Linked DNA regions of Saccharomyces cerevisiae S288C. The protein of the gene in region 2 interacts with the protein of the main gene of each other region in a biochemical or structural test. Each region holds a gene or a part of one and is shown on either strand. Other genes may lie near its edges.

Region 1 (8,299 bases), on a different chromosome or scaffold from region 2:
GCTCATATGAAAAGCAACCCCAACGCTAAAGTAATCTTTATGGTGGGTGCCGGGATATCCACTTCTTGTGGGATACCAGACTTCCGATCTCCGGGAACTGGCCTGTACCATAACTTGGCCAGGTTGAAGTTGCCGTACCCTGAAGCAGTGTTCGATGTCGATTTTTTCCAATCGGATCCTTTGCCATTTTACACTTTGGCTAAAGAGTTGTATCCCGGAAATTTCAGACCTTCTAAGTTTCACTATCTTTTGAAATTGTTTCAAGACAAAGACGTTTTGAAGAGAGTATATACCCAGAATATAGACACTTTAGAAAGACAGGCCGGTGTTAAGGATGATCTGATCATCGAGGCCCATGGCAGTTTTGCTCACTGTCATTGTATCGGATGTGGTAAAGTTTATCCCCCACAGGTTTTCAAATCCAAGCTGGCAGAGCATCCTATAAAGGATTTTGTCAAGTGTGATGTGTGCGGTGAACTGGTAAAGCCGGCAATAGTTTTTTTTGGCGAAGATCTACCGGATTCCTTTTCGGAAACTTGGTTAAACGATTCAGAGTGGCTTCGTGAAAAAATCACGACATCTGGAAAACATCCTCAGCAGCCTCTTGTCATCGTCGTTGGCACCTCACTAGCCGTTTATCCCTTTGCGTCTCTGCCCGAAGAAATTCCTCGAAAGGTAAAAAGAGTTCTGTGCAATTTGGAAACGGTGGGCGATTTTAAAGCTAACAAGAGGCCTACAGATTTAATAGTTCATCAGTACTCGGATGAGTTTGCCGAGCAACTCGTTGAAGAATTAGGTTGGCAAGAAGATTTCGAAAAGATACTTACGGCCCAAGGTGGAATGGGGGATAACTCTAAAGAGCAATTACTTGAAATTGTACATGATTTAGAGAATTTGAGTTTGGATCAATCTGAACATGAGAGTGCAGACAAGAAGGATAAGAAGCTACAGCGTCTCAATGGCCATGACAGCGATGAAGATGGAGCAAGCAACTCCTCTTCTTCACAAAAAGCCGCTAAAGAATAATGTGTTGGTTGCAATGTTTTCCGTCCCCCTTTTTTTTTCCTTATTCATCTAGCATGCGCGGCAATTTGATAGTTTAAAAATAAAAGAGACGCGTAATTGAGCTTGGCTTTCCTACGCGTTTGACATTGCATACATATTCTTTCCCCCCACCCCCTTATAGATATCGAAAAATTTGTAAGCTCTGACGTGCAATTCTACTTTAGCCAATTAGGTTTGATAAAAAATACGGCGCCAGCTGACTTTTTTCTCTTTCTGGATAAGTACTCAGAATATATAGATAAGTAGAATGGGTTCCCGAACCGTCAATGCAGCCAATTCATCTCAATACTGCGCCGAACAGCTTCTGAAGCGATCTTGACTTTGTGGGCAGCTTGAAATTTTCTTGGATGATTCTGTCCTATTTGAGCTTTACCTCCTCCCATCGAAAGGGCGAAGTCACACCGTTTTCAAAGGTGGAGTGTTACCCCACCCCCCACGCTGACTCCACATCTGACTCTCTACCGTTTTATTATAGCGAACGTTAACTCTGAATGTATGTGTGGTGTGTATGAATTGTATTTACTGCCTGAAATGGAGTCATAAACTCCTTTATACAATTTCAAGGAATTTTTGTAGCCGCGACGGGACCAGTGGGAAGTTACTAAAACCATTGTTTAGTTGAGCCGCCCAAGATGTGACTTCATGGCAGCTATACGTTCATTTGGGCTTTTGGCACTAAAGGCGCTCTTCCGACTGTATTGTTTCCATAAGGTCTATTATATTAGTTACAACATTTTATATAGGTTTATAAAAAGAAAATAGTGCGCAAGGAAGAAATAAGCAGTAAAAGAATATTGTTTAAAAAAATCGCATCATTCCAAATTGGTTAGGATATCATTTTTTAAATTGTAAAGTAATTGATACTGGTTTATTATTTGAATATCAACTGATGGATTAGTGAATAACTGGAAAATTTCTAAATCCGTGGGGAACAAATTTGGAATCGATGCTATTTTTTTTAATATTTCCGGGTCGTTGTTTAGGCAGTTTTCAAAACAAATACTTTTTTCAACCAAACATTTGATTAACTGAACACAGGATATGTTAATTGACGGTAGGAGCACCTTTGAATAATTTTGTTGCTGTAACAAAGTATTCTTACTTGTGGAATTGTTAATATTCAATATTATCTCACTTAACTTCAATAGTCCAGATCCAATATTTTCTTCAGAGCTCAACCACACAAATGGTAAATTCTTGTTGAAATTGAAGCTAGAATCTTTGTTGCCGTTATTGTTACTGTTACTGTCTGAATTATTCTCACTGATTTCAAATACTTCATTGGATAACGGCAATATTTTTTGTACAATGACTAAGATGCTAGTTAGACTCTGAGAAATTACCGGAGAAAATTGGTCGATCAGCAAACTTGGATCAGCTGATTGCGATAACACTTGCTGCAGCGGTATGGCAGAAAATAAAAACGAAACCACATCATTTAGCAAGTTGTGCCTATTGTTATTATTTTTATTGTTATCATTGTATAAATTCAAAAGTCTTCGTAACAACTTTTTGTCCTTGTGGTTGTTGTTACTGTTGCGATCATAGAGGTTGTTACCTGTGTTTTTGTTCAGAAGGATTGATTTGAAATAATTTAGGTTCGGTTTTTCCAATGAAAATAATTTGGCCAAAATATCTACACCGAAAGTTTGATATTTTCCCCATTGCAACTGGAATTCGTTGAAGGTCAAAGATTCAGAGCCAAATGATGACGAAGACGCCATTGGATTGAGTTTTGGTTGACCAAAACTTATGACTAGAATAAGAATTAACAAGCAATCAATGGACGAAGCGATCTCTAATAAATGAGAAATATTTGATAAAACAATAACCAAATCCTTCTTGAAATTTAGTATTTTCCTATTGCATGTAAAGTTTTCTGGATGGATTAAGACTAACCAAAGTAGATCAGATATAAATCTCTTTAGGTAAAAATTTCTCGACATGATTCTGGAGTTGTTATCGGAGAATGAAATATTCCTCAAAATCATCGAGATGGTAGACAGTTGATCGTTAATCAGAACTTTGGGATCCTCTGCCCCTCTGGTATTTATTTTTGTAAATGGATCATCAATTTCATCCTTGATTTTTTTCAAAGAAGTCAAATAAGGAGTTCTGTGAATTTTCAAAGGAAATTGGTTAGGGAGGAATCTTATTGGTTCAGGCAATAAGTCCCACTGTTTAACTGCGGGAGATGTCGACTGCATACTTATAAAACATTCAGTGTCGAGATCAGGCTCCATTTCAGTAGGAGTAGGGGTGGGCAATTGATTACCTGTTAAAGAATCTACCAGGATAGTGACTTTTTCATCGTTAGAATCATTCGGTGTAAGTGTAGCGTTGTTGTTTACCTTTTCAAAAATTTTATCAACCATTTTATCGTGTTGGGTAACATAGTATTGATTTGATCCAGCATCCTCATAATAATAGTCAGAAGTGTTTCGATGGTATGGAACAACATTTTGTGACAAATTTGACAGTAAATTCATGCCGAGTATTGCCAAGGAGTCTAATAATTCAGGGTATTTGACCAGAGATATTTTTAAGTTCGAGTCAGCGCTTGTGACCAACAAGGTGTTCAAGGCGGTGTTTATTTCTCCAAGATTCTTCGATTGGAGGGACATTGATAAAGCATGTAAATTAATTGCACCTAACTCTGGCGCGAAGAGAAAAATTGGCTTGTTGGAATCTATTTTCTCTCCTATTTTAGAGATGTAATTGATATCGTAACCATTGTAATGCTTGAGGCGGTTGATTAGGGGTTTGTAGTTCCTAACAATTGATCTCTTGTAGACTTTAGGCAATTTTTTTAGTTCGATTTCATATTGTTGACGTAATTTTGTCTCTAATAGCAATTTCTGTTGCCTTTGTTGATCCTCTAAAAGTTTTTGTTGTCGTTTCTGAAAATCCTCCCTTTCTTTACGTTCTAGTTCCAATTCCTTTTTGGTCTTTTTTTTCACTCTTTGCTTTCTTGGCTTCTTAACTTGCTGTTGGCCAATATTGTTATTATTTACGTTGATATTAATATTGCTATTCAAGCTTTTTGGAGTGTTTGCTGAAACCGGAACGATCCCTGCTTCTGTTCCTGGTGCTGCTGTAGCAGGAACGGACGCGCCAGGAGCCGCGGGGGTTGGTGCTGACGATGCACTATTAATGTTATTGTTGGCATTGGCCAATGCAGCGGCCTGCTGCTGTTGTTGAACTTTCTTCAATAGTTCTTGTAAGAACTGTTGCAAGAATATTCTTTTCGCTTGAGTTTCCTTTATACCTTCTTGGGAAATCATGTGTCTTTCGTAAGGTAATAAAATTCTAAAATAGATTGATTCTAATTGTTGGTAATCGGAAATTTGCAGCCTTTGGGCCACCATAGACCACTGTTGGGTCCTTGTTACTTGATCTGCACCACCGAATTTTTGAACCAACATATAAAGATAAAAAAGATTTATTTTTCTGTTGCCGATTTCTGGTATTGATTGTAACGGCATATTTCTTTTTTTACAGTTTTCAATCAAAGATTTCATAAAAAGTTCATATTGTTTGTTATTCAATTCAGTAGATATTTTCTCTTGTAATGCCGGGTTCAGACTTTGTAAAATAGATCTTTGTTGTTGCTGCCGTTGACTCTGCAAAAATTTGGGATTCTGTTGTTGCTGTTGTTGCTGTTGTGGTTGTTGATTTTGCTGTTGTTGATTTTGTTGCTGCTGCTGCTGCTGCTGTAGAGCCTGAAAACGTTGCTGCTGCTTTTGCTGCAAAGCGGCAAACATTGCAGCTCTTTCAGAGAACACTGTATTTGCGTTTGAAGTTGAATTATTGGTATTAGCGGGAGTTGCAGCAGGCACGGCAGTGACATTATTGTTATTGCTCGTTTTATTATTGCTGTTATTACGCATATTATGGTTATTACTGTTGTTGTTGTTGTCACTTGTGTTCGGAACAAATTCATTGCTTGCAGAGGATGATCTGTCCATTGAATTTGAAGCAGCGTAATTAGAAATAAGCTGGTTAGACGTCAAATTACCATTATTGGAAGCACTGTTATTGAATGGCAAAAATTGTTGATTTGCATTCGGAGTAGAGTTAGAGTTTGTGTTCGGAGTAGAAGATGAGGAATTTTGACTGATGGATTGAACATTGGTGATAAAATGGGGTGTTATTACATTATCGTTCGCAATTCCGGTGCTATTATTATTATTGTTACCGCCATATAGCTGTTGTTGAGCTTGAAGAGGTAAATTGGAAGAATCAATGATTGAATTCTTGGCTAAAATAGCCTGAGGAGACAGGCTGTTTAAATTTGTGTTGGAATTGTTTGAGTCATATGGAGAATTGAATTGGGGAGACTGGTTCTGAATGAAATTAGCAGCTTTTCCACCGGTAACATTAGCAGGAGCGGCATTATTAACGACTGCTGTTGGAGAAGTAAAGTTCGTGCTGGAGGCTACCGTGTTACTGTTATTGTTATCATTGTTATTACTATTACTGTTGTTATTGTTGGAATCCAAATTCTGGTCAAAAGGTTTTGGGTCGAAAAAATTCTGAAAATCGTCTACACCACTGGCTCCGGTATTCGTATTGTTGTTATTAGTATTGTTATTAGTATTACTACTATGGCCTGTGCTATTGTTGTTATTGGTATTATTAGCAGGATTATTATTATTATTAGTATTATTATTATTAGTATTATTGTTATTGGTAGTAGTAGTAGTAGTAGTAGTATTATTATTATTATTATTATTATTCAAATTAAAGAAATCCATCTTTATTTATTACTATTTTTATTATTACTATTTTTATTATTATTATTATTATTATTATTATAAGACACGAAAAGAAAGAAAATAGAGATAGAAAAAGAAAATTTTAAGAATAATGAGTGTAATAGGAAAATAGCCGCCAGTCAGTGATTATTACCTGGTGAACAATAATCTGCAATCCGTGAGAGGAAACAACGCGAAATGCCAAAGCAGAGATGGTGTAATAAGGATAGAGCCACACAACAATACTTTCTAGAAAAATAAATAATAAAAAAATAAGGTAAACAAAGTGTAATCAGTTGCCTTGCCGTATAGTGTTTTGCGGTATAAATATTGTTATTCAATACGAATGATGAATACCGGAAGGTGGTTATGACTAAAACGCAATGTGAATATGATTACAACTGGCAACAACCACAACAGAAACAACAATAATGCATAGTGGTAATAATACGTAAAGTCAATCAGCGTTCAGTTTTAAAAAAAATCTTTTCTCGGTGCTTTGGGGAAGGAGGGGTGGCGTCGTTTCGTAATCGGAGATACCCAAAGTTCATATCACGATAAACGTCAGTTCCGGGTTAGAATAAATTTATGCGGTAGTTTCTGTGCGAACTTGAGTGCGGTGGCATTTTCCTCCGGCGAGGCCTGGGTGGAACACTCAGGCAGGGGGTACACCCAGACCTGCAGGCATGCATCTGCTGTTTCGGCGGCTATTTAACATGCGCACGATTTTACGAGAGGAGAAGAGAAGTATGATATAATTAACGGTGAGCATTTTTGGTAATGGGAGGTGAAGACGAAATATTAAGCACGATGGAGGATTTTGCGGCAGTTTACGATGTCCTGGTAATTGGTTGCGGGCCTGGTGGCTTTACTGCAGCGATGCAGGCTTCGCAAGCAGGCCTGCTCACAGCATGTGTTGACCAGCGTGCCTCGCTGGGGGGCGCCTACCTTGTAGACGGGGCAGTCCCGTCCAAGACCTTGTTATATGAGTCTTATCTTTATCGGCTGCTACAACAGCAAGAACTTATCGAGCAACGTGGCACGCGGCTGTTTCCTGCAAAATTCGATATGCAGGCGGCCCAGAGTGCACTCAAACATAATATAGAAGAGTTGGGCAATGTGTATAAACGTGAGCTATCTAAAAATAATGTTACTGTGTATAAAGGCACGGCTGCTTTCAAAGATCCTCACCACGTTGAGATTGCGCAGCGCGGCATGAAACCGTTCATCGTAGAGGCGAAATATATTGTTGTGGCGACCGGATCTGCGGTTATTCAGTGTCCTGGTGTTGCAATAGATAATGACAAGATAATTTCATCTGATAAGGCATTGTCACTGGATTATATACCTTCACGTTTTACTATCATGGGAGGAGGTACAATTGGACTAGAAATCGCATGCATATTCAATAATTTGGGCTCTCGGGTTACTATCGTTGAATCTCAAAGCGAGATCTGTCAAAATATGGACAATGAGTTGGCTTCTGCCACGAAGACCCTCTTGCAGTGTCAGGGTATAGCTTTTCTTTTAGACACTAGAGTGCAGCTCGCGGAAGCCGATGCTGCCGGTCAGCTGAACATCACCTTGCTTAACAAGGTGTCAAAGAAAACATATGTACATCATTGCGACGTCTTGATGGTTTCTATTGGTAGACGTCCCCTGCTAAAAGGTTTAGATATTTCCAGCATTGGTCTAGACGAACGGGATTTTGTAGAAAATGTTGACGTACAAACCCAAAGTCTGCTAAAGTACCCTCATATTAAACCCATAGGAGACGTTACATTGGGCCCCATGCTGGCGCTGAAAGCGGAAGAACAAGCTATAAGGGCCATTCAATCAATAGGCTGTACAGGCTCCGACGGAACCTCGAATTGTGGCTTCCCACCAAATGTGCTGTACTGTCAGCCTCAGATTGGCTGGGTCGGATACACTGAGGAGGGGTTGGCAAAGGCTCGCATCCCATATCAAAAAGGCAGGGTTTTGTTCTCACAGAACGTTAGATATAACACGTTATTACCACGGGAAGAGAATACTACAGTTTCTCCTTTCATTAAAGTTCTGATAGATTCTCGTGACATGAAAATACTAGGCGTTCATATGATAAACGACGATGCAAATGAATTGCTGTCGCAAGCATCGATGGCGGTGTCGCTTGGCCTTACCGCCCATGATGTCTGTAAAGTACCGTTCCCTCATCCGAGCTTATCGGAATCGTTTAAGCAAGCCGTCCAGTTGGCAATGGCAAATGGAACATCACCTGGCGTACATGTCCGGGAATAGGCAAACGTTGCAGATCTCCTTTAACCCGGTTTTCACACCATATTCCTTGATAAGTCCGTAGCATATCTCGTCCAAATCTATCTGGTTAAATCTTTCTCCCCCCTTCCATAGCGCTATTGAAATTTTACTCATGGGCAGAAAACAGTTACGAGGTTTGCCTCTCTCACCGGGCATTGTAATGATGAAATTTATCTGCA
Region 2 (5,102 bases):
TTTCTTTTCTGTTCAGACAACTTCATCGAAGCCTTTGCCAATTGTTAGATACAAGATTATGTTTGTTCTGAGGAAAATGAATATAGAGTTCAAGGAGGTTAAGGGTGGTTTTGTTTGTATGCAAAGGTTCTCTTCCAATAATGTGGCAGCGAAGAGAGAAGGGACTCCAAGATCGATCATGCCACTTTCGCACCACGAATCCATTAGACGTCAAGGCTCTAATAAATACTCACCTTCTTCTCCTTTGACAACTAATTCCATTCACCAGAGAAAAACATCTATTACCGAAACCTATGGAGATGATAAGCATTCGGGAACATCTTTGGAGAACATCCACCAACAAGGTGACGGTAGCGAAGGCATGACTACAACAGAAAAAGAGCCCATCAAATTCGAAATTCATATCGTCAAGGTTCGTATTGTTGGTTTAGCCGGTGTGCATTTTAAGAAAATTTCTGGGAACACTTGGTTGTATAAAGAGCTGGCTTCTAGTATATTAAAAGAACTAAAGTTGTAAGTAACACGTTCCCTGAGAAACCACAGCTTACATTTTTGATATTCGAAAACAAGAATATCCGTTCGATAGAAATTTATATATATATATAGATTCTTTTTATTCTCTTTTGGAAAGAAGAAATAGAATGGACCTAAGCAGACACTCAGCAGTTAATATTTTCGTCCCTTAATTGGTATTATTTATAAATAAATGGCACGTACTTTATGTGTAAAGCAGTTCATCATCGATTGATGGAGAGAATTTGTATACGTAGAGCGATCATTGCACCGTTTACCAGGACAGGATTCATATGGATGTAATAGGACTATTACTTCACTGAATCAATACAACTCGTAACGGTCATATAACTGCGAGTTTGTACGCAGTTATTCTGTTTGTGAAGACAGATTATACTTCGCCGTTGAAAGATTTCTTTACTTCACCATCATTGCCTCCGGATTCTCTTAACTTCTAAATAAAATGAAGATACTGGTAATTCTTGTCCGCAAAAATCTACGCTACACTCTGGAAAGAAACGAGATTTTCTACCGTCTGGTTTATAATGAATATATTTACATGACCAGCTTTGCAATCATATGATATTTTCGCCCATGTATACGAAATTAACTAAAAATACATCCAACGGGAGGCCATTTTCATCACTAATAGCTTGTATGAGCTCAGGAATCATCCAGTATGTGCTGTAGTGCTTCATTTGCGCTTCTAATGGACTTGATATCGTTCATTACACAAGTTAAAAGAATATGCTTGGGAATTCTTTTCCCGTTTTCCTTCGGTGGGGTCCTTACTGATTTAATGAGCCTTTCAAAGGCTTCTTTGGTGTTTATTCTTCGTATCTTCTCCATTTGAACGTGTTTCCATTTCCGTACCTTCACAGGGTCGTCCTCGATATTGGCTGGAATATCAGAGTCTGGGATTCGTATCTCAGGTACTGAAAACGGTGGCGGGTTGTAGTGGTCATTGCCGATAGGCTGATGAGGTCCTTCCCTCGTGGTGAACTCAGTTGGCACATCTGCTGTGTTTGTGGGTAACTCCCCTGTGTTACTGTGTGGATGTGTTTCAGGATATCTTTGATTTAATTCGGTATACCTATGCTGCTTTTTTGGTGATCTTATATGTAGATGTGATTCGGAGTTCATGGAAGCGTTGGAAGACATCATATCCTGTGATATTAGATTGTCTAAAAACTGTTCAATGGCATTCGATTCATTCGTGCTCAACAACCCCGAACTGGAAGGAGACAACTTGAGACCAAGCGCTTGATCAAAACCCATGCTTGGTTGATGAGGGTTGTGATTTAGATAGTGTGCATGAGTATGCAAAGGAGCATGATGAGTTTGGTTATCGGCAGGTATAGTTTCTACGTGAGAGGGTTGCACGGTTGCTACGTTAGGAATTATGCCGAGCTCGTGTGTTAACAGAGGAGGGGAAGTTGCACTAAACGTGTTTTCATGTATGTGCGCAGACATTTGGTCGTCGAAGTTACTGCTGAGCATTTGGTAAGCAGTTTCAAAGTCTATATCGTTATCCAGATCTAGGATACCCAGTAATTCGTTCCCAGTTGCTTGTTGCATTTTCTCCTTTGCTGTTCCATGTATTTATTTATTGCACGTCAACGAGATGGAACCGAACCAATTTCGAATTGCTTATGACGCCAAATACTGATTACAATAAGATATGATGAGATGAGCCTTTAATCACTGAAAAAAATTCACATGTGTGTTGTACTTGGACAGGTGTCAACGCCCTGCCGATGACGGAGGGAGATAGAAAACCGGCGAATTTTTTACCTCCTGCTGAAAAAAGGTTAGGTTGGTTCCATCTGCCGCACTATGGAGGGTGATTCAACGGAAAAGGCGCAGGAAGTGCAGTAGTGACCGGCAAGCAGCATGTTGAAAGACATTGTTGGGAAATCCTGTTTGAGTCCTGGTGTGTCTTCATTCTCCTACCATTTGTAGCTGGCGTAGATTTGGTTTGAGTGTGGTTGGTTAATTCATATTAAGCGTTGAGATTATAATAATAGAAATAATGGAAGAGGCACTCGATCCATATTATCAAGGATTCAAAGTAACTCAGATCTGCAGTAAAGGAGAGATGCGACTGAGAACAAATTCCTTTGCAATGGCATCGGCAATGGCACAATATGGAACTTTTTCTTGTACTGTTGAAAAACAGCACGCTGCAGTTGCATCAGGGTTGTTTTAAGTTGTTGTAGTAATCTCGCGACCTGAGACATCCTTGAAGCGGTGCCTGCGAAGTCTTAGTGAAGAGTTTAAGATTAGAAGTATATAGCATCGAAGGGATGGCCCAACTGAAGCAGGTTCCTCTGCTTGTTTCTCAGCTTATATAAAGGATGGATTGCGTATGTATACATGTGCATTTGTGCGTACGTCATTTTTCGATAGAGTCAGCTTAAGTACATGCGTATAGGTATGGAAGAGCTTAGAAGGGCGCTGGCGCTGCTAAATGGTCAAGGATATGAGTTTATGGTGTTCATAAAGGAAAAAGACCATTTAATAAGTGAGTCAATTCCAAAAAACTTGTTCTCAGAGAGTTTTATATCATCTTCAATTGAAAAAAACCCTCCACTCACGTTCGATCCATTGGTAAATAGGAAAAGAATAACTGTTTATGAAGAAAATATCCAACCAGCGATCATGCTACCCTTAGATCAACCCCTACTAATACAGAATTATCTGTATACGGCTTTTAAATTATTAAGACAGGTCCCATGCAAGGCGATTGCTAAGTTGTGGATAAAAATTATTGAGCCAAGGAAGAAAACCAGGTTTCCATACATTAAAGGCAATGCTGGAAGGCCGGAATGGTGGCCAAAAGATGTAGAACATAAAGAGCCGGACCACCTCCAGAAAGCGGATCGACTGAAATTGATGTGCACGATAATTATGAATGTTCTACCGCAATCTCCCTTCAGCCTTGAGATTTTGGACGAGCTTACAGGAGTGACCGCCGCAATGACCATTTTTAAGAAAGAAACTGTGAAGAAAGTAATCATGAAAAATGTTTTCGAAATTGCGAAATGCTTGTGCAACAAAGATTTCAAGCAGAAGACCATATCACTTGATGATTTAAATGACCTAGCCCAAAAACAGAAAAAATCATACCATAGTCGTCGATTTGATGTAAATAAAATGGTTAAGGTAGAAAAAGATTTGTTACAACAGTCAAGTGGAAGCGATTCTTCACCCTCGATGATCCTTCCTTCAAAAGAAAGTGACACAGAGTATTTCCCCAGGGAATATCCGAAAGACCCTGTATCGGAGGATTATTCGAATAGCATATCTCGATTAGAAAATTTAGTGGAATTTGATCCGTTATTCCTCACTAAATTGGATGAATTAACTAGTAGCGATGATTGTAAAGATTTTATTTGAGAAAAATTTCAAAGCAAAGAAAAGAGGTGTGAGGAGCGCAAAAGCAAAAAGGGGGATAGCATACATTAACACATTTTTTGGCTCTTTGCTACTTGATTTGGTTGCTATCAAGGCGATTTAGTTTCGTCTGATAAGAAGGACACTATAGATTGGTTGAATGATTCTGGGTTATCTAAAAAAAGATTGTGACCGGAAGAAGGTATTTCTAAATAACTTGCTCCTTCTAGACAGTTCTTTAAATTGTTCAACTCTTTGACCATGAACATACCGGCTTTTTTATTCATCCAATCATATTGCCCATATACTATCAATAATTTCTTAACATTTAAATATTGCAGAGAATCCATCAAGGGGTCCTTTGCTAGGATACATCTTGAAAATAACGCTTTGAAAATATCTGTCGTAACCTCCGGTATACCTCCCTTACCGTAAAACAGTTCAAATATGTACTCTTTGTATGCCAACGATGGGACTCGGCTATATGCCGCCATTATGTAATTCCAACATAACTTAGCTCCTAATGGTCCCATCATTCTCAAAATGTGAAATTGTTGTTCAAATAAGTATTTTGGAATCATATTTCTTTTGGAGTAAAACTTGGAATTTGGATTTTTAAAATCGATAGTATAAAGAGTGTTGGAGTGGAAATTATTATTTACAGACCAGATATTCCTTTCCACTCCTAGTGGGGATACCAAGCAAAGTTTGTTTACCGAGTTTGGATATTTAACAGCATATTTAAAAGATAAATATCCGCCAAAAGAATGCCCCACAACATTCATTTTGCCCAATTTGTTATCAATGCGCCATTGCTCGATTCTGTCGAGATAGAAATCTTCGTACATTTGAATCACAAATTTATTGTGATTTGCATTTATTGTATATGGAACCTTAAATTTATTTTCTCCAATAAATTTGATATCTAACGGCAGAGGTGTTGTTGTATTGATCTCTAAAGACGGTACTGAAGACAATCCGCTCGCTGGCATGTCAATTGAGTATAAATTTCGGATGTGCTTGGACAGACCTGGATAATTTCTGAAAAAAGACATTGAAGATGCGGCATAGCCATGTATCAGCAATGTTGGTGTTCGAACAGTACTTGTGTTTTCATTTTGGAAATGCCATTGATTTATTTCGTTGAATAACTTATCATTCTTTTTAATACCTTCAACGTGTACCTCTTCCAT
Region 3 (4,483 bases), on a different chromosome or scaffold from region 2:
GCTGCGTGAAGAAGGTGAGGTGTTCGGGTGGCGTAACTTAAGTGGCCTGTTGCTCGATATGCTTACGGGCGGTCTGTGGAGCTGGGTTTTGGGGCCCCTTCTTTCTAGACCTGTGTTTCAGGAGTCTCTCGCGTTAGAGCAGTACGTGGCGCAGCTAAACTCGCCGGGAGGTCTGCTTCACGAGCGCGGTGTGCGCCTAGTATTGCCCCGACGGTCCGGGTGCCTATCCCTAGATTTCGTCGTGCCCCGACCCAAATAGTTAAACGTGTGGTTTATGGGTGCACCAGGGCTTTATCGTGTTTTATATCGATGGCGATTTGTGCCTCCAGTGTATTTTTGTATATCCAATTAAGGTTTCTTACCTAATTTTATTTTTATCATCTTTAGTTAATGCTGGTTTGCTCTGTTTCTGCTGCTTTCTGTGCGGTTCTCCTCTTCTCTTGTTTCTTCGTGTTGTCCCCCATCGCCGATGGGCTTATATGGCGTATATATATAGAGCGAGTTTTTACGTCGAAGATCATCTCAGTTTGCTTGATAGCCTTTCTACTTTATTACTTTCGTTTTTAACCTCATTATACTTTAGTTTTCTTTGATCGGTTTTTTTCTCTGTATACTTAAAAGTTCAAATCAAAGAAACATACAAAACTACGTTTATATCAATTAATAATGTCTGAAATTCAAAACAAAGCTGAAACTGCCGCCCAAGATGTCCAACAAAAGTTGGAAGAAACCAAAGAATCTTTGCAAAACAAGGGCCAAGAAGTAAAGGAACAAGCTGAAGCTTCTATCGACAACCTAAAAAATGAAGCTACTCCAGAAGCTGAACAGGTGAAGAAGGAAGAACAAAACATTGCTGATGGTGTCGAACAAAAGAAGACCGAAGCTGCCAACAAAGTTGAAGAAACTAAGAAGCAAGCTTCCGCCGCCGTCAGTGAGAAGAAGGAAACCAAGAAGGAAGGCGGTTTCTTGAAGAAATTGAACCGTAAAATTGCTTCCATTTTCAACTAATCACACTTGAATGTGCTGCACTTTACTAGAAGTTTCTTTTTCTTTTTTTAAAAATAAAAAAAGAGGAGAAAAATGCTGTTTATTCTGACCTTTTACATAAATTTTTCTTAATTGTATCTATCTAATAACTAATCAATATAATAATAATAATACTAATAATAATAATAATAATAATAATAATAGTAGTAGTAGTAGTAGTAGTAATAATGATGATGATGATGATGATGGATGATCAAAAGCCACAAAAAAGAATGCTCCGAGAATAACCTCGGCGGTTATTTCACGTCCCGGAGGAAAAAAAGTTTGATAAGAAAGTAAAAATATGAGCGGTACGAGAATCGAACCCGTGTCCCCACCTTGGAAGGGTGGGATGATAACCACTACACTAACCGCCCGGGTTAATTGTTATTAGTTGGTGAAACTGATCTCAATCACTATAACATTATGGTCTCTTAATAGCAAAGGCCAACCAACTGACTTCTTGCAAACTGATGTTCAATTTTAGCTCTAAAATAAAACAATGTAAAAGAAAGATAAAATGACATAAAGCACTATCGCTTCAACGGCAAACAATATTGAAAAAGTATCACATTATAGTAAGTTGAACACTAAAAGATTAAATAAATACTTCGGCACACTTTCGATGAAGGAAAGCATTAGTAGTAACGTATATATATCATTGTTGTTGCTACTTTTCTTTGTGGGATATGCACCACTCCCCTCTGCAAAGTGAAGAAAAGGTATGGGAAGAATTTCTTCGCTTATATTACTTACTTTACCCTACTCCTTGAATCACTGACCACTCTGTCCATCACCCAGCTCCCAAATTAACTCCTTCGGTACTAAATCCCGAATGTTTCCATTTTGTTCTTGTACGGGATCGCTGCTGCTGCTGCTGCCGGTTTTTGCCTCATGCTTAGCTATGATTTGTTTTCTCAGCTTTTCATTCCTTTCATACAACCAACTTAAGTAACTCAAGCTTTTCAGGTATATGATTAGTTCTGACCGACTTTCCTGGGGTTGCAGGTCAGGTACTACTGCTACCAGTTCGTCAAATATAGCTCTTTCCAATTCTCTCCTTTTTTTTTCAGACGAAACATGATTTATACGTATTTGACCATCAGTCAATTTATTAATCTTCTTAGACCTGCGTTTCCTTTTCTTCACATTAGCCAGTTCACCCTTTATCTCCTTAATCTCGGACAATCCCGGCTGTATTGTTTGTATCTCCTTAATATCGTTCGTCATTATTGCTTTTCTCTTTTTAGTTCAAGCCGCCCTCTTAACTCCTTCGTCAAGCTTATCTTGTTGGCATTGGAATTTCGCAAACGCAATCGCGCCTCTGTCTTTAAGGTGAGAAAAACATGTGAATATTTTGTTTGATACGTAACAAGCTCATACAAACCAAGCCAAGAAAAAGAAGACGACTAATCTATTTATAACAAAGATATTTGTTCACTATAATGCAATATAGTTCGAGGTTCCTAGAATTGAATATCCCGGATTCATTTTTAAATATCAATAAGATTCCTGATGCTACTAAATTTATTACAGTCACTTATATATGCTTAACTGCAACCCTTTTCTGTATAAGGAGATCCTTGTACAACAAGCTAGTTCTTGAAGACCCTAACTTGGACTACAACTTGATTACTTCGCCGCTTTTGCAAATGGTACCTTCGCAGATTTGGAGGTACCCCACCTCATTAGTTCTATCCAACTTCATCGACACTAAAGCTTGGAAGGTGGTAGTGAACTTATTGAATTTGATCATTGGTGGATCCTTCATTGAACGCAATTGGAACTCTTCCAAAGAAATGTTCAAATTTATCATAGTTTTAGGTTCTCTTACAAACGTTCTGATCATCATGCTGACTTTGTTAGTATCTTTTTTCTCTAATAAGGTAAGGCTGGATATTCCCTTAGACGGGAACTACACAATTTTAATCGGTTTCCCTATCATTTATAGACAGTTATTGCCTGAAACAACTATAATCCATCTGAAGACACCTCAATTTTTGGCCAAAAACTTTAGGTTCAAATTACTACCCATTTTTGTAATGTTTACAATGACGGTAACCCAAATAATATGGTTTCATCATTTTGCTCAATTGTTCTCCATTTGGGTTACCTTTTTTGCCAGTTGGTCGTACTTGAGGTTTTTCCAGAAACTTGCACCCTTGAATTGTCCCTCTTTGCCAACAACTAATTCTCAAGGTGGTCAGGAAATATTGGTCGGCGATGCATCTGATACTTTTCAATTGATTTACTTCTTTCCTGATCTAATTAAGCCGATTTTGAGGCCGATTTTCAATTTCATTTATAATGTAGTTGTTGTAAAATTTAAAGTCATTAAACCTTTTCATGATATTGATATAGATATTGGGAACACCATCGCAGAAAGTAGAGGCGCCAAAAAAATTATGACTGTAGAAGAAAGACGAAGACAGTTAGCTTTACAAGTTTTGGAAGAGCGTATGGTAAACCCTTGATATATGGATCTATATAACTTGAAATATGCTCTATTATATCGTGATTTAATGACGGCTGTTGGCATTTCGGTCTTTACCAAGGTAGTAGGATTTGTATGCTGAATGTGCGCCAGTACTATCGAACCATAGAAACCCATATATTCCCCAATATTAATAATTCTACTGAGAAATGGGTGAATTTTGAAATAATTGTTGGGATTCCATCGTTGATAAAGGCTATAATATTAGGTATACAGAATGTACTAGAAGTTCTCCTCGATGATATAGGAATCCCCATAATGGAATCTATATTTCTATGTACCAATATTACGATTATTCCTCATTCCATTTCATATGTTTCATTATCCTATTACATTATCGATCCTTGCATTTCAGCTTCCTCTAACTTCGGTGACAGCTTCTATAATAACTTATGTCACTATCTAACACCGTATATGATAATATATTGATAGTATGACTACTAGTTGATAGACGATAGTTGGTTTTTATTCCAACATCTACATAGTGGCACTCACTACGCTGCTAAATTTGATCATTTGGTGAATAATTTGATAATTAGTAGTTCTTCTCCGGGATATAGGAATCAACAAAAGGAAAACGATAGTTTTACATAATAATATTAATTTATCTTGCTTGGTTCGCCTTTGAAGAGCGCAGCTTTCAGAGATTTAGCTTCTATGGCCAAGTTGGTAAGGCGCCACACTAGTAATGTGGAGATCATCGGTTCAAATCCGATTGGAAGCATTTTTTTTTAATATTTTAAAATTGTTTATATTTTTGTACCACAAACATCATTAGAAGCTGCAAATGAAGTGAATCAGAAAATTTAAAAATGAAACTAAATACTAAATATTATTGTTCTTTTTCTAACAGTTGAAGTGCCAAAAGCAGTAAATTGTTTAAATATTAGGGTATAAAACATGATATTATAAAGTTAATGATTTAGAATGGCTCCGTCCAGCAGAACCAGTTGATTACCATTA
Region 4 (5,444 bases), on a different chromosome or scaffold from region 2:
GAGGGTTAAAATTATCAGGTCGCAAATCAGATTTGCTACAAAGACTTATCACGCACGATTCATGTTCAAATAAAAAAAGTAGTGTGAAGATAAATGAACCCAAAAAAAAGAGGATATTAATAAATGATCCAATCAAAATCACGAAGAAATTGGTTAGTGATAAAACTTTTAGAACTATTGAAAAAAATATTTCTTCACTGCAGAACACACCTGTTATCGAAACTCCCTGCGACGTTCATTCACACTTGCAACCAAGGGATAGAATATTCTTATTAGGATTTTTCATGTTATCGTGTCTTTGGTGGAACCTCGAACCTCAGGAATCTAAACCTACCATTGACCATTAGAAATATAATTCTAGCACTGTAATTAATTGAACTGTATATTCTTTCATAATTTATTAAGACACTTTTACTTTTCTCTACGCTCTCAATAAGTTATTGTTGATCCAGATCATCTCGATATTGCCGTCATTTTCGGTTAAGGTAGGCGCTTTTACGAAACACATGCCAGAAAAAAAAGTGAGGAAGGAAGGTACAATGAAAACAGGGTGAACGCCACTTCTTTTCACCCAAGTTGTAAGAGAAATAATAGTAAAAGCAATCGAATTTGGATTCTATAAAACACCACTGAGGCGAAAAAAAAAGTAATGGACAATTACGAAGGCAGTGATCCTTGGAATACCAGTTCTAATGCATGGACTAAGGATGATGATCACGTCGTTTCTACCACCAATAGTGAACCCAGCCTCAACGGAATCTCTGGTGAGTTTAACACCTTGAACTTTTCAACACCTCTGGACACAAATGAGGAGGATACTGGTTTTTTACCGACCAACGATGTGCTTGAAGAAAGTATCTGGGATGATAGTAGAAATCCTCTTGGTGCAACTGGCATGAGCCAAACTCCCAATATAGCGGCCAATGAGACAGTTATAGATAAGAATGATGCTAGAGATCAGAATATAGAAGAATCTGAAGCCGACTTACTTGATTGGACTAACAACGTTAGAAAAACATACAGACCTCTAGATGCCGACATCATCATCATTGAAGAGATACCTGAAAGAGAGGGTTTACTTTTCAAGCACGCAAACTATTTAGTGAAACATCTCATTGCTCTTCCAAGTACCTCGCCTTCTGAAGAACGTACTGTCGTAAGAAGATACTCTGATTTCTTATGGTTAAGAGAAATTCTGCTGAAAAGATACCCTTTTAGAATGATCCCTGAGCTACCTCCCAAAAGAATTGGATCCCAAAACGCAGACCAGCTTTTTTTGAAGAAAAGAAGAATAGGGTTATCTAGATTCATTAATTTGGTAATGAAACACCCTAAATTAAGTAATGATGATTTAGTGTTAACATTTTTAACCGTACGCACTGACTTAACAAGTTGGAGAAAGCAAGCAACCTATGACACTTCAAACGAATTCGCTGATAAAAAGATATCACAAGAATTTATGAAAATGTGGAAAAAAGAGTTTGCAGAACAATGGAACCAGGCTGCATCTTGTATCGATACCTCGATGGAATTATGGTATAGAATCACGCTTCTCTTGGAAAGGCATGAAAAAAGAATTATGCAAATGGTACACGAAAGAAATTTTTTTGAGACACTAGTGGATAACTTTAGCGAAGTGACTCCAAAACTATATCCGGTACAACAAAATGATACCATATTGGACATTAATAACAATTTGAGTATAATTAAAAAACACCTAGAAACTACGAGTAGTATCTGCAAACAAGAAACAGAAGAAATATCGGGAACGTTATCGCCAAAATTCAAAATTTTCACGGACATCTTACTTTCTTTGAGAAGTTTATTTGAGAGATACAAAATTATGGCTGCAAATAACGTAGTTGAATTGCAAAGACATGTCGAATTGAACAAAGAGAAATTGGAATCGATGAAAGGAAAACCAGATGTCAGTGGAGCAGAGTACGACAGGATAAAAAAAATCATACAGAAGGATAGAAGAAGCATAATAGAGCAATCAAACAGAGCTTGGTTGATAAGACAATGTATTTTGGAAGAGTTTACAATCTTTCAGGAAACCCAATTTTTAATAACACGTGCCTTCCAGGATTGGGCAAAATTGAACTCCAACCATGCCGGTCTCAAACTGAATGAGTGGGAAAAGCTCGTCACAAGCATCATGGATATGCCGATTTCTCGTGAATAAATTTTACGGAGTGAAGACTAACCACTTAGTCTGCCAAAACATTATTGAAGGATATCCAACAGATGTAATTGACGTACTAAACAGAGAAATAATTAGGTAAATAGAGTAAAGATATGTACCACTATAAATTGTTATTTATTTGTTTTTCAATTTTAAATACAGTGTATGAAGCCTAATTCGGATATTATAGGTTCCCATATTTATTAGAAGGTAACAAATCTTTCGATAATTTGGATTAGATAGCCTTATAATATGCCGGACAAACGACGCCCGCTAAAAATGTGTATTCTCCAGTATTCAATATTCGTCATAAATGATCTTAATTTGAAAAAGTGAATGAACTGAACATCGATAAGTCGAATGTGGTCCGTGTAATAGCTCAAATGGGAAAGTTTTTCTAATCAGCATTCTGTATAACCTCACCTGCACGTAATCTAAAGTGCTTTTATCGATTGGTAGTGCACATATTGTCTTTCGGCATCATATCACATAATGGCAAATTCGCCGAAAAAGCCATCTGATGGCACTGGAGTATCAGCGTCAGACACGCCTAAATATCAACATACCGTCCCAGAAACGAAACCAGCATTTAATTTGTCACCAGGTAAAGCTAGTGAGCTATCACATAGCCTTCCGTCGCCTAGCCAGATAAAATCAACCGCACATGTATCTTCAACTCACAATGATGCGGCAGGTAATACGGATGATTCTGTTCTTCCTAAAAATGTATCACCCACAACTAATTTGAGAGTTGAAAGTAATGGAGATACAAACAATATGTTCTCTAGCCCTGCTGGACTAGCTCTACCAAAAAAGGATGATAAAAAAAAAAACAAGGGTACGAGTAAAGCAGATTCTAAAGATGGCAAAGCATCCAACTCCTCAGGACAGAATGCACAACAACAATCAGACCCAAATAAAATGCAAGATGTCCTTTTTTCCGCAGGTATCGATGTTAGGGAGGAGGAGGCTCTTCTAAATTCATCTATTAATGCCTCAAAATCCCAAGTTCAAACAAATAACGTTAAGATCCCCAACCATTTACCATTCCTTCACCCGGAACAAGTTTCCAATTATATGAGGAAAGTCGGAAAAGAGCAAAACTTCAACCTGACCCCTACAAAGAATCCTGAAATTTTGGACATGATGTCAAGTGCCTGCGAAAACTATATGAGAGATATCCTAACAAATGCCATTGTCATCTCCCGACATAGAAGAAAAGCAGTCAAGATAAATTCTGGTAGAAGAAGTGAAGTTTCTGCGGCTTTAAGAGCCATTGCACTAATTCAAAAAAAAGAAGAAGAAAGGCGTGTGAAAAAAAGAATTGCGTTGGGACTCGAGAAGGAAGATTATGAAAATAAGATTGATTCCGAAGAGACGTTACACAGAGCATCGAACGTTACGGCTGGCCTTAGAGCAGGTAGTAAAAAACAGTATGGTTGGCTAACTTCATCAGTAAATAAGCCGACGTCCTTGGGAGCAAAATCTTCAGGCAAAGTCGCCTCCGACATCACGGCTAGAGGAGAAAGTGGGCTAAAGTTTAGAGAAGCTAGAGAGGAGCCTGGTATAGTAATGAGGGATTTACTCTTTGCTCTCGAAAATAGGCGCAACAGCGTTCAGACTATTATTTCAAAGGGTTATGCCAAGATCAGAGATTAATTGCTCATCTCTTATACTGTCTATAATATTTAAAGGTATAGTGTTTCAAATAAACTAGGATATAAAAAAAACAAGATTGACTAACATAAAGAAGGCCGGTTGGTGTCGCTTAGTCAAGTCATCGCCAAGCTATTGAGGACCATTCAACCTTTTTGCTTTGTTCATTTTAACTTTATAATAAGGAAGATATATCAATCCTTGAAGTTAGGCATCCTTCTACCAAAAATAGCGGAAAGAGGAGTGATAATCGGGAAAAAAATTTTCATATTAATACACATTTTTATACATTTACTTGTCATTATCCTTTTGGGTGAAAGGATGTATTATGTATTGTTTCTCAGAAGGGCTTCTAAATTAGTCCAAATAATGCTGTTATGGCACCTAACAAACTCATTAGAGTATTAGTGTTCGCATAGGAAATAGCCGCAGCATTCGCTTTGTTTGCCGTAGAGGAAGAAGAACGAGCTGTAGAGGAAGAAATTGAAGAGGATGAAGAATTTGAGTTTAAAGTTGTATTTGACGAAGAGTTTGAGTTAGAAGTGACATTTGATGAAGTCGAGGTTGTTGAGTTTGATGTAGTATTTCCGGAGGTTGATGAACCTAAGAGAGCCGTTATTGGAATACCGTCAGTAGCCTCAGAGATTGCAGAGGCAATAGCACCGCTTTGATACGTACTATTTCCCGATAGTTCAGGATTAGCTGAGGTACTTAGTGTGCCGTTCCAGCAGTAATCCGCAAAACATTTGGTACATTCAGGGGGCAAGGTGGCATTTAGGCTTTCTTGCTTACGTCTAATGATGGCACAACCTATGCAACCTAAAAAGTTAGAGTCATCCGTAAAGTTGCCCATTGTAGCAGCTTCAAAACCATTTCTGATCATTCCAAGACGTTCTGTAACATTGTAGTTCATCTTCAAAGTACTTTGGTTACCATTGAATGAATGTTTTGTGTTTGGGATATATACAACTAAAGGTGGAATATACTCCAAGTCCGTCAAATTTTTTGCATCACAACCAAAAAACGTTGGCTTATTAGTTAAGCCCAAGTTAAGGAAGGTGTTAACGTCTGGAACATATGGGAAAGCCATTCCTTTACCTTGCTTAGAATACTGGCGCTCATAAGTGTTCGTCATGCACACACCACTTGGCCATGATTCATCAGTATTGTCGGATATATCCAATGCGAACACCACATCCAAGTCACGTTCCTTCTTGATTAGTGGAACCAACGGCAAATTTTGGCCGTCCTCACCACCATCAACTAAAAACAAATCATCGGCATCAACAATACTGGAAGTGTAATTGCGGTCAACAAATTCTGTATCCTTGAATGGATTTGCAGCGTAAATTGCAATATCATCGTCATCTTGGGATAGGTTGTTAACGTACTTGTTGGCAAAACTATTAATCATTTTATAATAGGTCGAAGTGGAAGCTTCCAGGGAAAATTCGTTGAATAAACTGGCGGATGTGGCAATTACAAATCCAGCATTATCGTAACCAGAAACGCATTGATCCTTGTTGACCGGTTTACCATTTGTAACGTTGGTACCTAGATATTTCACATCCGTAAAAGCGTTCAAAGAAGGATCCCAAGAACC

The links.
Region 1: the proteins of INO2 (region 2) and SWI1 form a complex in vitro, tested with the Saccharomyces cerevisiae proteins (2 studies listed by BioGRID).
Region 3: the proteins of INO2 (region 2) and INO4 form a complex in vitro, tested with the Saccharomyces cerevisiae proteins (4 studies listed by BioGRID, with this or other methods).
Region 4: the proteins of INO2 (region 2) and TAF4 form a complex in vitro, tested with the Saccharomyces cerevisiae proteins (2 studies listed by BioGRID).

The regions. Positions count from the first base shown.
Region 1 is NC_001148.4:518,537-526,835, reverse strand, and holds SWI1 (Swi1p), read right to left. Parts: upstream 5,823-8,299; coding exon 1,878-5,822; downstream 1-1,877. Other genes in the region: histone deacetylase HST2, read left to right, coding at 1-1,026; IRC15 (Irc15p), read left to right, coding at 6,603-8,102; CTF19 (Ctf19p), read right to left, coding at 8,076-8,299. UniProt on the Saccharomyces cerevisiae protein: Involved in transcriptional activation. Component of the SWI/SNF complex, an ATP-dependent chromatin remodeling complex, which is required for the positive and negative regulation of gene expression of a large number of genes.
Region 2 is NC_001136.10:697,378-702,479, forward strand, and holds INO2 (Ino2p), read right to left. Parts: upstream 2,092-5,102; coding exon 1,177-2,091; downstream 1-1,176. Other genes in the region: serine/threonine protein kinase KIN1, read left to right, coding at 1-517; YDR124W (uncharacterized protein), read left to right, coding at 2,938-3,912; ECM18 (alpha/beta hydrolase family protein), read right to left, coding at 4,020-5,102. UniProt on the Saccharomyces cerevisiae protein: Positive regulatory factor required for depression of the coregulated phospholipid biosynthetic enzymes. Also involved in the expression of ITR1.
Region 3 is NC_001147.6:109,631-114,113, forward strand, and holds INO4 (Ino4p), read right to left. Parts: upstream 2,257-4,483; coding exon 1,801-2,256; downstream 1-1,800. Other genes in the region: SHR5 (Shr5p), read left to right, coding at 1-259; ZEO1 (Zeo1p), read left to right, coding at 667-1,008; YOL107W (uncharacterized protein), read left to right, coding at 2,472-3,500. UniProt on the Saccharomyces cerevisiae protein: Transcriptional activator of phospholipid synthetic genes (such as INO1, CHO1/PSS, CHO2/PEM1, OPI3/PEM2, etc.).
Region 4 is NC_001145.3:273,368-278,811, forward strand, and holds TAF4 (Taf4p), read left to right. Parts: upstream 1-2,677; coding exon 2,678-3,844; downstream 3,845-5,444. Other genes in the region: AIM34 (Aim34p), read left to right, coding at 1-347; MVP1 (Mvp1p), read left to right, coding at 650-2,185; PLB2 (lysophospholipase), read right to left, coding at 4,194-5,444. UniProt on the Saccharomyces cerevisiae protein: Functions as a component of the DNA-binding general transcription factor complex TFIID. Binding of TFIID to a promoter (with or without TATA element) is the initial step in pre-initiation complex (PIC) formation.